2 linked regions of the Pelodiscus sinensis genome follow. The protein of the gene in region 2 binds, or shares a complex with, the protein of the main gene of each other region. Links are inferred from orthologs where the notes say so. Each region holds a gene or a part of one and is shown on either strand. Other genes may lie near its edges.

Region 1 (7,476 bases), on a different chromosome or scaffold from region 2:
TGACATTCCTCTCAGAATGTTATAAGCATGTCCTTAACTTGGACACCTCCTTTTCTTCCATATAAAAGCTCAAGATTTTTCCTCTCACATTTAAAAGTGCCCTTAATTCCAGCCTATCATCTCCCTTTTACCATCTCTATTACTATGCTCCTGCCAAGAGTCTTTCCTAACCATTTCCTTTCTTTCATCTCTCCTCCATCTGGAAGAGCCTCACAAAAAACATTAGCCACTCTTTCTCTCTCAGGGCACATCTACACTACAGCAGCAGAGCTGCAGCTCCATAGGGTAGACACTTCCAGTGTCAATGAAAGGTTTTTCAATTCACATAGGTAATCGAGCTAAGCTGACAGAAGAATTCTGTTGAGCTAACTGCATCTAGCTGAACCATAGCACTTGGGAATAAATTTTTCATCTCCATGAGTCATGGAGCAAGGCTGCTCTAAATTTTAAGTGTTGACTAGGGCTTAGCTCTCATCTCTGTCTCTATATTAAAAAGCTTTTCCTGCAGGACGACAGACTGACATCATCATGTCACTCTGTGCCCAGCCTGCCTCCTCCCTCTCTCCCCCATATCCCAGCTTGAGCCCGACCTCACTGCTTCCCCATGCCACTTGGAATTGCTATTTTAAACCAAGCCCCTACTCCCCTTTCTCCACCCTCACCCCACAGGGCTTTCAATGCCAAGAAACATGGCACAGTAGCCAGCAGACCCCACATGGCAGCCATGACAGCCCAGGTCCGGGGGGGGGGGGGGTCGCGGGTGGAGAGAGAAGAGAGACAGCAGCCAGGGACAAGCATTAGGAGAGGGGCTCCCAGTCAGGCTTGAGTGCCAGAAGCAGGCTCGAGGGTCTCCCTGCCCCCAGGCTCTTGGGGAGCCCGAGTAAGGTGCCTGACTGCCTGAACTCCAGATGCCCCACAGAGACTTACCCCCTCCCCAGCAGCTGCACTTACCGCAGCTGTCAGAGCACCCCCCGAGCCACCACACAAACCTGTCTGCTCCTCCTTTCTGCTCCCGGCGGGTACCTACGCAGCCCTGGGCTCTTCAGGCAGGGGTGGGACAGTGAGCAGCACAGGCAGGACCACACAGGGGAGAGGTCGGAACAGCAGCCCACCTGTGGCAGCTTGCCCCACCATAAGAGGCTGCAGTGCCCCGGAGCTTCGTGTGCACACGGCACTACCTATGCTTCACTATGCCCCACGCAGGGCAGGCAGCCAATCCTGCACCTCCCCAGCTGCTGGGACTACAGCTGGGCCTAGCACACCATGCGGCCAGGAGAGGGAGGGTTAGAGTTGGGGGAGGGAGAAGTGACCCAGGCCGGTGGGGGAAGGAAGGGGAGAAGGGCGAAGGGACCTGGGCTGGCATGGCAGCAGCCCAGCCCTCCTTGGTGCCTGGGGGCACAGTCCCCTACTAATACATTTAAATTTGTTTATAAAGCTGATACCTGTTTGCTCTGCATTGTGCTATCCCGGGTGGCAGATTGCTCAGCAAGGACTTACTTGCCTGGCAGAGTTCAACTACCACCCAGCTTCACACAGTAGTACTGGTTCATCTAATTTTCTTCATGTCAACAGGCAGATGGCCTGATAAGCCAGGTCCATAAACATCTCATAGACATTTGTGAATATCCTTATTCAAGACTGAATTTCCAACAAAAACTATTATAATTATTAGTGTCAAGTTACCCTCTAGTGAAACTGTTCAATCTGCTGAAACACATCTCAAGTTAATATGTTAAATTCCTCTCCCATACCTGATGTAAATGTCCCAAATGTCCCCTTGCACACAACTGGCACCCTTGCCTGTCCTGTCAATCCCTATCCACCCTACAAGGGATATCTTCGCCTCCTTCTGCCAATCCCCATTACCGCTGCACAACCAGCATCCTCCCACCTGCAACAACTCTCTCCTCACCCCACAACAGAGACCCTCACCTCCTTGGCCAGTCTCCCTCAAAGTACAAAATTAAAGTCTGTGTGCCTGTCGCCCTGTTAAAAAAGGCCCCAACCAGCAAATTAAAAAAGACTTGCAACACGAGGACATAAGGTTCCAAAATGTAAAGCTCCTCTGCCCACCCCACCACAAGAGGCACCCCTCGCCTCCTCTGCCCACCCCCTCCGCCCACCGCAACAGGCTCCCCTGCCTCCTCTTCCCATCCCCCCAACAACCCCCGCCCAACAGGCGCCCCCGCCTCCTCTGCCCATCCCCCCAGCAACCCTCGCAACAGGCGCCCCCGCCTCCTCTGCCCATCCCCTCAGCAACCCTCGCCCAACAGGCTCCCCCGCCTCCTCTGCCCATCCCCCCAGCAACCCCCGCCCAACAGGCTCCCCCGCCTCCTCTGCCCATCCCCCCAGCAACCCCCGCCCAACAGGCTCCCCCGCCTCCTCTGCCCATCCCCCCAGCAACCCCCGCCCAACAGGCTCCCCCGCCTCCTCTGCTCATCCCCCCAGCAACCCCCGCCCAACAGGCTCCCCCGCCTCCTCTGTCCATCCCCCCAGCAACCCCCGCCCCCTCTGCCCATCCCCCCGCAACAGGCGCCCCCGCCTCCTCTGCTGGTCTCCAACTTCCCAGTGGTAAAATGCCCGTCTCCCCCCAACCCCCGCCCCTCCCGCCCCGGGATCAGTGACCTAGACTCAGCCCGCCCCCGTCTCCAGCCGGCTCTGCCAGCCCCGGACAGGGACCCTCCCCGCCGGGGGGGCCAGCGCCGCCTGCCCGCTCCCCCACCTACCCCATGCGCATCTTGGATCCCGACTGGCCGCCCCCGCCGGGCACAGCGGGCCGTGGGGGCAGGCGGCCCAGGTGCAGATGTTTCTCCAGGGTCGACATGATGGGAAGACGCCGAGACACAAGGGCAGGTATCACCCCGCCGAGCCAGCAGCGGCTACCCCCACCCACCGGCGCCGGAAGTGCCTGCTGCCACGCCCCACTGCACCACGGGAAACGGAGTCCGCCCCCGGGTAGGGCTCATGCCGGGGAGCGCCTCCCCTGCCGGAAGTGCCCGTCCTCGCGCGATCTTCTTTAGCCGGAAGCGGGGCCGCAGCGCCCCCTGGGGATTGTTGTTCTTACCGCTGGGCTGTGCGCTTGCGCGGCTCTGCTTGCGGCTCGGAGACTCTCCCGCCCTGTCCCAGCGGGCCCCGCGGCGGGCTGAGGCGGCGGCGGCGGCGGTTGCCGGGCAGCGGCGGTAGCTGCGGGCCGCGCCTGGCGCGGGGGAGCGGCTGGGGGGTGGGGATGAAGCAGAAGAGGCCCAAGGGCCCCGCTCCCAGGGTGGGAGGCGGCGGGGCCGCCCGCAAGAGGAGAGGTCAGAACCCTGCGCGGGGGCAGCAGCTGCCGGGGGGTGGCCCCCGGGGCCGGGGGCGGTAGCCGGGGAGGCGGTGCCCCGGGGCGCAGCGGGCCCCCGAGCAGTGGGTGGCGCCGGTCACGTAGTGGTGGGTGCTCCGGGCCCCGTAGGAGAGGGCAGATCTTCTGATGGGCATCTGAAGGGGGGGCAGCACCCTGCGCGCTGTGGAGGGTCGCGATTCTGGGGGCCAGCACCTTGGCGCTCTGTGGGGGGTGGCAGGTACATGGCGGCCTGTGTGGATTATAATGTGGGGTGTGCCCTTGCGGTGCCGCAGAGGGCTGGGAGTTGCCATATGGGTCTTGGTGGGTACTTACAACCATATCGGCAATAGGGAGTAACACTGCTGGCGCAACACGTACCCCGAGGGCACATTGGAGTCGGGAGAGGCTATAGGCGTGGAGATGTAGAAGAGATCTGCAGTTTGTCCATCAATCGCCCTAGGAGGCCTTTCACTGAAGGGTAGGGGGGCGTGTTGCAGAGTGGTGCTGGGCAGACAAGTTGTAACATCACCACTTTCCGATTTTCATTGTGGCTTAGGGTTGGTTTTGCAGTCACAGTCTCAGCGGTGGTGTGAATGTGTATTCATAGAATAATAGGACTGGAAGGGACCTCGAGAGGTCATCGAGTCCAGCCCCCCGCCCTCAAGGCAGGACCAAGCTCCGTCTACACCATCCCTGACAGATGTCTATCTAACCTGTTCTTAAATATCTCCAGAGAGGGAGATTCCACCACCTCCCTTGGCAATTTATTCCAATATTTGATCACCCTGACAGTTAGGAATTTTTTCCTAATGTCCAATCTAAACCTCCCTTGCTGCACTTTAAGCTCATTACTCCTTGTCCTGTCCTCAGAAACCAAGAGGAACAAATTTTCTCCTTCCTCCTTGTGACACCCTTTTAGATATTTGAAAACTGCTATCATGTCCCCCCTTAATCTTCTTTTTTCCAAACTAAACAAGCCCAGTTCATGAAGCCTGGCTTCATAGGTCATGTTCTCTAAACCTTTAATCATTCTTGTCGCTCTTCTCTGTACCCTTTCCAATTTCTCCACATCTTTCTTGAAATGTGGCGCCCAGAACTGGACGCAGTACTCCAGCTGAAGCCTAATTAGTGCAGAGTAGAGCGGCAGAATGACTTCACAAGTTTTGCTTACAACACACCTGTTGATACAACCTAGAATAATATTTGCTTTTTTTGCAACAGCATCACACTGTTGACTCATATTCAACTTGTGGTCCACTATGACCCCTAGATCCCTTTCCGCCATGCTCCTTCCTAGACAGTCACTTCCCGTCTTGTATGTATGGAACTGATTGTTCCTTCCTAAGTGGAGCACTTTGCATTTCTCTTTATTAAACCTCATCCTGTTTACCTCTGACCATTTCTCTAACTTGCTAAGGACATTTTGAATTATGTCCCTATCATCCAAAGAAGTTGCAACCCCACCCAGTTTGGTATCATCTGCAAACTTAATAAGCGTACTCTCTATCTGAATATCTACATCATTGATGAAGATATTGAACAGTACGGGTCCCAAAACAGACCCTTGAGGAACTCCACTTGTTATCCTTTTCCAGCGGGATTTAGAACTGTTAACAACAACTCTCTGACTACGGTTATCCAGCCAATTATGCACCCACCTTATCGTGGCCCTATCTAAGTTATATTTGCCAAGTTTATCAATAAGAATATCATGCGAGACCGTATCAAATGCCTTACTAAAGTCTAGGTATATGACATCCACCGCTTCTCCCTTATCCACAAGGCTCGTTATCCTATCAAAGAAAGCTATCAGATTAGTTTGGCATGACTTGTTCTTCACAAACCCATGCTGGCTATTCCCTATCACTTTATTACCTTCCAAGTGTTTGTATATGATTTCTTTAATTACCTGCTCCATTATCTTCCCTGGGACAGAGTTAAACTGACTGGTCTGTAGTTTCCTGGGTTGTTCTTATTCCCCTTTTTATAGATGGGCACAATATTTGCCCTTTTCCAGTCTTCTGGAATCTCCCCTGTCTGCCATGATTTTTCAAAAATCATAGCTAAAGGCTCAGATACCTCCTCTATCAGCTCCTTGAGTATCCTGGGATGCATTTCATCAGGACCTGGTGACTTGCTGACATCTAACTTTCCTAAGTGATTTTTAACTTGTTCTTTGTGTATCCTATCTTCTAAACTTACCCTCTCTGCTTGTATTCACTATGTTAGGCACACTTCCAGACTTCTCGGTGAAGACCGAAACAAAGAAGTCATTGAGCATCTCTGCCATTTCCAAGTTTCCTGTTACTGCTTCTCCCTCCTCACTAAGCAGTATATATATGTTGCAATATATTTTGTATGTGAACTACGGATGTTAAATTGCGGATAATCAGCTACTTGATTAGCTGATAAAGGCGTGGTGGGGCTCGCTACCTCTGCTGTCGCTCTGCACTCCTGGCTTTGGAACCCCTGTGGCTCTGCCTCCCCTCCTCCTCCCCTCACACCGGCTTCTGCTTCCCCCTCATTGCAGACCTTGACACAGAGGCAGCAAGGGGAGGGGGGAAGCAAGTTGTTTAGTCCCTTACATCCCTGATGTGAACATGAGGTGTGTTACAGTAATGCCAAAAACTTGCCATGTACATATGTTGTTAGGCCAGAGCTACTCAATTTTGGAAGCCCTGGGGCCCATAATGATACTTACAGTACATGTTGAGGGCTGCAACTGAAGTGTGGTTGTATATACATGCAAATAGCTTCTTTCACACTGATGGGCATGAATACAAAGATTAAGGCAAGATTACACAACACTTAGGCCCCATTTAAGTCAGATCTGTTGATATTAATAAAATGCAATATTTACCCAATTACCACCCATATGACAGCACTTTTAGGGTGCATCTATACTGCACGGCTTAACTCGAATAAGCTACGCAAATTATGCTACATCAATTGTGAATCTTATTTTGAAATAGGGAGCATCTACACAGCACTTATTTTGAAATACAGTGCTCTTCCTCCAACTTCCCTCACTCCAGGAGTCGGAGTAAGAAACCCTCTAGCTTGACAGTATTTTGACACTATTTCGAAATAACTGCCTGCTGTGTAGACATGGACTAAGTTATTTCAGAATAGTGCTAGTTATTTCCAAATAGTGTTGCAGTGTAGACATGCCCTTAATGAGCAATGACAGTCCAGGAATTTAACTACTAAAATGTATATCAACAGAAGATCATTATATTGACTCGCCGTTGTGGAGCGTGTTCCCAGTGGAGGCCAGGTTCAAAAGATCCCACCCGCAAGCCACGTGTTGAGCCCCATGTAAACCCAAACCACAACGCAGGCAGCAAACAGACAGGCTGCAGGCCGCTGATATTATGGGCCGTGCGTTGAGTAGCCATGTTGTAGGCTGTAATGTTATATGCATCTATAGGGTAACCCTAAGTGTGGCATAGAATATTAGAAACACCAAGTATTTTTTTAACTCTATAAAGTGATCTGTATCTCGAATATGTTAACTGCATTTATGTTTTTGAGAAGTAATACTGTTTCTTTTTTGTATCTCTGCAGGAATCAGTGATATCTCCCCTTCTACAAGTTTACCACCTCTTGTTGAAGGCCAGTTGCGCTGCTTTCTGAAGTTAACAGTCAGTAAAATCTTGTGGATGGTCTCTAAGCCGCCTGCTACTGTTCTCATCCGAGTGAGGTGGTGGGGGGAAACATCAGATGGCACGCTTTTTATTCCCAGGAATACTTCACAGACTGAGCAAAAAGCAGTGAAAACCACCACCCACTATGCAATCCGTTGTGGACCAAAACAGTTTGCATCTTACCTGACAGGTACAGTAGTGTATGCTCTGTATTAATTTTGCAGTTGAAATTTCTATCATGACATCTGTTCAGTAGACTTCATCAGTAATTGCAAAGTGCGTTCATGTGTAAAAATAACCCCTTAATTTTATTGTTAGTGAATCTAGAATATGGTTTTATGTAGTGTGTTTCATGTTTCATATTTCAAAGGGCATTGAATCATCAGGAGAACCATAAAAATTAAAAACTATCGCACAGTACTGATGGTTCTTAAATATCCTTATAGACTGACCATGGAAAAAGGATTCAAAGGACATAGTGAGAGACCTGTGTCTTCTAGACAAATAGGTGTC
Region 2 (7,205 bases):
GTCACTTACATCCCTACATCAAGGACCAACCATAGTTGGCTTCATTTCATTGCAAGCACTTTTCAAAAGTTGTATGCACCTTTTTAAAACATCTTTTCTCTGTCAAAGTCGTCCTAGTGGTTTCCAAAAAACCAAACAGCTACCATCTAAGTTATATCAATGTGGGAAAGATTATACTCTTGAAAAGTGTTCTTTGTGAGAATAGTTGAGTAGACCAGATGCTATGACAATAATTACCTCATGTTCTTGGTTATCTTGTCCATCTTTACCACTTTTTCCACTTTTGCCCAATTTTGCAGGTTCCTGAAAATTAAACATTTGTAAGTTTTTCCAGCATCAAGCTTAATTTCAAACAGAATCAAATACTTTTTCAGTCAAGTAACTGATTGACCAGAGATCTGCATGAAAATATGCATTACAGAAGATTAAAGCCTAGAAATGTAATTATACAATTACAATTTCAGTCTTAGAAATTGTACAAATTCTCACACCTTCAAAATACTTTAAAAACAGTAGTTATTCCTCACAACATACCCATAAGATTAATTCATGAAAATTGCTTAAGAAAACTAAGGCAGAGTGCAAACGGTATGCACAAAGGCACAGTAAATCAGCCTTGATCTACCCTTTATTTTTAGCCTTTAGTGTAGCTCTGAATCCAGGGTAACCTGTTCTAGACCAAGCCATGGTATACAGCACTGTACCATGCCTATACAGATGTTTCCATCTACGTAACTGCAACAGCAGCTAAAAACCCAATGTTAAAACTGGGTCTATTACTAGGAATGTAAAATTCTGATTAATTGGCAAATCGAATAATTGATGAATATTTGATGCAAATTGCGATTAGCCATCCCCCACTGGCCCATGTTCCCTGCAGCATTTCAAAGTGGAACCACCGCACGGAGCCCAGGGTCAGCTGGGGACTCTGACAGAGGCAGCAATGGGGGGAGGGGAGAAGCAACTAGTTGTTCACATCCCTATCTGTAACCCAAGAGTTTCTCCTCAATATGAATGAGACCAAATCTACACTGGCACTTTACAGTGCTATAAATTTCTGTCTCAGAGGTGGGGAGGGGGAGAGGAAAAAAAAACCACACACACACACACCCCTCTGAGCACAGCAAGTTAGAGCACTGTAATGCACCAGTGTGATACAGCACCTGGAGCTGTGCTCCCTGCACTGTTAGCTTACTCTTCTCACAGAGGTGGTTAACAGAGCGCTAAAAAAGAGCTCTCCCAGCATTTATGCCATGGCCACACTTTCAATTTAAAACACTGCTGTGACTGCACTTTAAGTTGTTTTTAATCCAACGCTTTATCTACATTTAACACCTCCTATTTCTCTCACTACATGATAAAGGAAATAAAAGGAATACAAACATTAATGGTCTACAATTTTTTGGATCAATGCAGCATTTGTATTTTAAGGCACAAAAAACAACAACATCATAAGACAGATAAATCCACAAGCAAATGATACTGAACTGATGTGAAATTGCTTAAAGGGTTTGCCTGAAATCAAAGATGTAGAGAGAGCTATGTAGTGGAACAGGCACAGAATGGGAGTCAAGAGCTCAGTTCCACTCCTGGCTTTAACACCAAACAGAAGCGGGTAATTCACTAATCATGCAGTTGATTGAATTTTTATCAACTACACAATTAACGGATAAGGGAGGTTAAAGCTCCCAGCTCAGGCTGGGTATGGGAGCTACTTCTGCTGTGGCTCTGCAGTTTAAATGTAGTAAGAGCCAGGTGGGCAGACAGCCCAGCCCAGCCCCTGCTCTCGCCAGGTATGGGACCTACTCCCACTATGGCTTTTCAGTTTAAATGTATTAAGAGCCAGGCTGTCTGCTTGCCCACCCCACTCTTATTACATTTAAACTGCAGAGTCGCAGTGGGAGTAGGTCCCTCATTGCGGCTCTGCATTTAAATGCATGTAGTTGATAGCATTAACCAATAAGCTTTTGCCTATTAGTTAATTGACTATTATATCCCTCTACTCCCACTTGTCCTGATCTCAGTATGTAAGCAGCTTCCATGTAAAATCAACAGCAACAACGAAGTCTCCAATGGACTTCATGGACTCTTGAGAACAACTCCCCTTTTGAGGTAAAAGCTCTGGTTGGGCTGCTTTGCCATGTAAAGCAAGTCACTACATCTTTGCCTCAGTTGCCCTGTTTGTAAAACGGGACCAGTTTTATCACACTGGGGAGGAGATGGATCTATGAATGCAGTTTCAAGCAATGGGATATGGAAATTAAAGCAACAGAGTAAAGAGACTCAGGAAAATGCACTGATGCCAACCTTAAGAATAACCTCCCCTCCCCCAGAGACCTGCCCCGCTTTAAAAATACCCCTTCCCACACAAAGCAGAGATACCCACCTTGACCCAAAATTAATAGCTCGCCTCTCACTCCTACGTACACTCGATAAAAGCCACCTCCCGTTACTCTCGCCCCAAGCCATTACCCTTTCACGCCCCCAATAAATCCCCTCTGCCTCTCCGCCACGAACCCCAGTCTCTCCCCTCCCCAATAGGAGTGAGTCGGGCCCCAGGAACTGGGCGAAAAGAGGCAGCAGCGGCTGGGCTAGGCCCACCGCCCACCCACGGGGAGAGTTTCCCCGTTCCTCGCCGCCTCCCACAGGGAGCACCCCGGAGTCCCTCGGCAGCCCGCCCCGCCGCCTGAGCGCCCGCCTGTCTCCCCCGCGGCCAGGACCTGCCCAGCTCTCCCGGCGCTCGCCGCCCCTCAGCGGCTCTCCCCACGGCCCCTCTCCCGCAGGGGCCTGGCCCCGGGCCCTCCGCGCCCCAGCCGGGCTGACTCGCCTTCTCCTTCTTGTTTTTATTCGGCATGGCCGGTCAGTTGGGCGCCCGGGCCGGGAGCGGCGCAGCCTCCTGGGGTCCTCGCTCCGACTCCCCCGCCCCGCTCAGGCGCTTCCCCCTCTCAGGCTCCCAGCGGCGGCGGCGGCGGCAGCAGCCTTAGCTCCGCCCGGCCGAGCCGGGACGCCGCCTCGGCATTGGCTGTCCCCCGTCACGTGGGGCCGACGTCCCCCCCTCCCCTCTGTGAGCCAGGGGGCGGGGTCGTCTCTATCCCGGCGGCGGCTGGGGGAGTTGGTCGTGCCTGTGGAGCGGCCTCCTAGCGGGGTCGCCCCAGCCTCGCGCCTTCCCGCATCTCTCCTGCTCCCGCGGCTCAGACAGAGCAGCCCCCCTCGCAGGGCCCGGGGCAGAGTCGCTTCTCCGGCCCAGCCCGGAAGGAGGGGGAGCCCCGGACTAAAGCCGTAGCCAGCGCCTCAGGCAGAGCCGTTTCCCCGGGACGCAGACATCGCCCGATGGGCCTGTCTTTGGGGCTCACGTAATGCCCTTGGCCAGAAGCACAGCCCGCGCTCGCCCAGCTTCGCGCAACGCCTGGAGATAGGCTGAGGATTCAGTTGCTCACGGGAGGGCTGCTGTGGGCTCCGTTTTTCCAGACTTGGATATTGACTTCAGCAGAAGGCGGCCTAAGACCGGCTCCCCTATTGATCATCATAGAGGCTGAAGATGCTCAGCGTCTCTCGGGCTTAGATACCCCAGCATGTGATCACAGTTAACCCATGAGGAGAAGGTGCACGCTGCATGGGCGATAGCCTATATTAAATGTATTACATCTTAAAAAACAAATTGTCTAGTAGCTCCTTAAAGACTAACAAAACATGTTGATGGTATCATGAGCTTTTGTGGGCACAACCTGAAAAAGTAGGTTGTGCCCACAAAAGCTCATGATACCATCTACATGTTTTGTTAATCTCTAAGGTACTACTAGACTATTTGTTGTTTTTTAAGTTTTTCCTGTTACAGACTAACTTGGCTACCCCTCTGAAGCTATTAAATTTATTATCTTTTCTCTTTCAGTGGAGCTTTTATGTTGGATGAAACGTGCATTATTCTGTTAGCCCCACCTCCCTGCAAAGATTATAGTTTGAAAATGAACTACTTTTTGATCCATCCAAGTGAAATATAAAAGAACCATCCGAACGAAATAGAAACAAATAATTTTAATACAAATCCTCAACAAGTGAACATCTTTTCTTGTTTATCTTAAAATTATTGTATTACCATAGTGCTTAGGAGCTCTGCTCAAAGACTGGACTTAATTGTGTGAGATATGTTAAAGCTACAGAACAAAAAGATGATTCCTTCTCCAATGAGCTTACAATTAATGCATAAAACAAAGACAACAGGTACAGATAAGGAGTACAAGAAAGCATATCAGTCTTGTTGTAAATTTTTTTGTTGGCTTTATAGAAAAAGAATTTGAAGGACAATTTTGAGGGGGAATCGTGGTAACTTTACAGATATTTATGGAGAAGCATGGGAGAAAGTACTAAGGTGTTAAGAGAAAAAAGGGTGAGGCTAAGAAAAGGGTCTTTGTAGTATAAAACTGAATGGAAATGAGTCAAGGCCAGAGAGACAAGCGTTGTAATAACCAAGATGCAAGAGGAAAATGTAAACAAGTTTCAGCTGTATGAATGGATGGGAAGAACGTGTTGTAAAATATCCAACTAGAATTTTGTCAGATGTTCTGTTGGCTGAGAAAAAGTAGAAGAAAGTTTAACCCACAGAATAATGTCAGAACATGTCTGTAAACCTGGAATGACAGTGCTTATTCATCTGTCATTATAGTACTGCTATCAAGGGTTAGTAAAATGTACTAGATGCTTAGAAGCCAGAGGCAGTATGAAAGGTTTAAAGACCTTTACTCACTCCCAAAGACTGAGTACCACAGGCAACAGAAGCTCAGACCTCAATTCTAGTTGCTGGGATTCCTAATAGCAATTTCACATTTTGTAGCATGCAAAGTCAAAAAGATGGCAGAGCATCCATTAAAATTTGGAAGGTTGTCTTTGTGACCACCAGGCTAGAAACCTTTATTTTGTGGAAAGTCTCATCTTCCCTCTTGTTCTACTTGTTATAGAAAGCATCTCATTCACTAGTAACAGTTAAGTGACTCGATTTTTCCAGATCTAGTATAGTGTGTGTGCAATAATCAGTGGGCTGAGGTGGTTGATAAAAGATAAATTCTATTTGTTCTAGTGACTTCCTGAACTGTGAGACCAAACAGTTGATTTATATATTCACCATAACATTAAAATGAAAAACTTAAAAAACAACAAATAGACTACTAGCACCTTAAAGACTAACAAACAAAACATGTAGATGGTATCATGAGCTTTCATGAGCACAGCTCACTTCAGATGACCGGAGTATTATTAGAAGTCCAGATCCAATAATAAATCTAAAATGAAACTATTTCTAATTGTACTAATAAATCACTATGAGAGCAAGTATTTTGCTATCAGTATGGGAGTGACTATGCAAAAAAGTTTATTTAATTTTAATATATGACTACACTAGTATAGCTATGTTAATGTCTGAGCATGCCCAGTATAAACTAGATGTTTCTGAAAGCCACAACGGATTACTGAATTACAAGTTGCTGCAGTTAACTCTTGTGCCTTCACCTCCAATCCACATTCTGAATGCTTCCTAAACAGTACAAACAACACCATTTATTAGAATATACATAGTAAATAGTTTAAACTTGCAAAATAATGCATCAAAATCTAGCTGTTATAAATTACTGAAATTTAAGAATGAGTTGATATTGGACTAGAATGTTCAGTATGCTACCGAGGAAGCAAGTTTGCTCATCTAGTCCTGCCCATCTTTACTGGGCATTCCATTATTTTTTTTAAATCCCTTTTCTTAGGACTTGCCTATCCCCAGAAGCTTCACAGATTTAAGTAAAGATGTGATGTAAGTGCATGCAAAATCATAGCAGCAATCCGCCCACTCATCAAGGATTAGAGGTTCTGGTGAATAATTATCATTGCATGCTAGCACACATTGAACCTCAAACCGACCATTCCCTCTCATCATGCACTCAGATCTCCTTGGATTTCTATCGTGCAGTTCCAAATGAAGAAAGGATCAACTCAATCACCAAAAATATAAAGCTGAAACAGATACTTTGAACAAAAAATTTCTCTAAACTTATGCTTCAGTTGAAGCTGCCATATCCTGTCCCTAAAAAGTGATCAAGAGTGCTAAACCACTTTATCAATGCTGAGCATCTAGAGCCCATAATAAAACCCAGCACCATGCACTACAAAGAATTATCATCCTACTTTGCCAAAAAGATGACCCGCTTTTGGGAAGGTATCTCAAACAGCATGGATTTACTACCCTTAAACAAATTAGAGGTCAATAATTCTTCGGGTGTATCCTTAAATTAATGTCTGGGTACCAACACCCACTGAATCCTATTTATAAATCTTATTTATAGCCATTCTCTAGTAAGGCTCTGTCCTGCTGACATGGTCTGCTGTGCTGTAAAGGTTAAACAGTAATTTATTCAGAGCTATCTACAAATCAAACTCTCCTAGAGGAAATCAACAATAGCCTAATTTCAGAACTGCACTAATCATAAAACATATCAGTGCAACTGGATTGTTATAAATGATAAGATAGATTCATAGATTTTAAGACCAGATGGAACCATTGTGACCACCTGCATAAAAAGACCATAGAACTTCATAAGAACATAAGAACGACTGTACTGGGTCAGACCAAAGGTCCATCTAGCCCAGTATCCTCTCTGCCGACAGTGGCCAGCACCAGGTGCCCCAGAGAGGGTGGGCCGAAGACAATGAACAAGCAATTTGTCTCCTGCCATCCCTCTTCAGCCTCTGACAAACAGAGGCCAAGGACACCATTTTATCCCCTGGCTAATAGCCTTTTATGGACCTAACCTCCAGGAAATTATCTAGCTTCTCTTTAAACTCTGTTATAGTCCTAGCCTTCACAGCCTCCTCTGGCAAGGAGTTCCACAGGTTGACTATACGCTGTATGAAGAAGAACTTTCTTTTATTAGTTTTAAACCTGCTACCCATTAATTTTATTTGGTGTCTTCTAGTTCTTCTATTTAGGGAACTAATAATTAACTTTTCTTTATCGGCCCTCTCCACACCACTCATGATTTTATATACCTCTATCGTATCCCCCCTCAGTCTCCTCTTTTCTAAACTGAAAAGTTCCAGTCGCTTTAACCTCTCCTCATATGGGACCCGTTCCAAACCCCTAATAATTTTAGTTGCCCTTTTCTGAACCCTTTCCAAGGCCAAAATATCTTTTTTGAAGTGAGGAGACCACGTCTGTACACAGTATT

Evidence for each region.
Region 1: the proteins of PPP2R5C (region 2) and PPME1 are in contact, whole or in part, in a cryo-EM structure (PDB 7SOY), measured with the Homo sapiens proteins. The link is inferred for Pelodiscus sinensis from reciprocal best matches to the Homo sapiens genes PPP2R5C and PPME1. Residues at the interface, in NP_002710.2 of Homo sapiens: Asp180, His187, Arg188, Tyr190, Gly191, Leu194, Arg197, Ser230, Ile231, Gly234, Phe235, Ala236, Lys240, His243, Asp313, Gln341, Tyr348, Glu353, Tyr354, Glu399; in NP_057231.1 of Homo sapiens: Arg37, Lys38, Arg39, Asn192, Lys217, Val251, Glu252, Gly253, Ile254, Ile255, Glu256, Glu257, Pro345, Gln346.

The regions. Positions count from the first base shown.
Region 1 is NC_134711.1:322,164,626-322,172,101, reverse strand, and holds the start of PPME1 (protein phosphatase methylesterase 1), read right to left. Parts: upstream 3,004-7,476; 5' UTR 2,825-3,003; coding exon 2,727-2,824; intron 1-2,726. Other genes in the region: C2CD3 (C2 domain-containing protein 3), read left to right, coding at 3,227-3,296, 6,884-7,153. UniProt on the Homo sapiens protein: Demethylates proteins that have been reversibly carboxymethylated. Demethylates PPP2CB (in vitro) and PPP2CA. Binding to PPP2CA displaces the manganese ion and inactivates the enzyme.
Region 2 is NC_134714.1:22,623,774-22,630,978, forward strand, and holds the start of PPP2R5C (serine/threonine-protein phosphatase 2A 56 kDa regulatory subunit gamma isoform), read right to left. Parts: upstream 3,005-7,205; 5' UTR 2,855-3,004; coding exon 2,828-2,854; intron 304-2,827; coding exon 238-303; intron 1-237.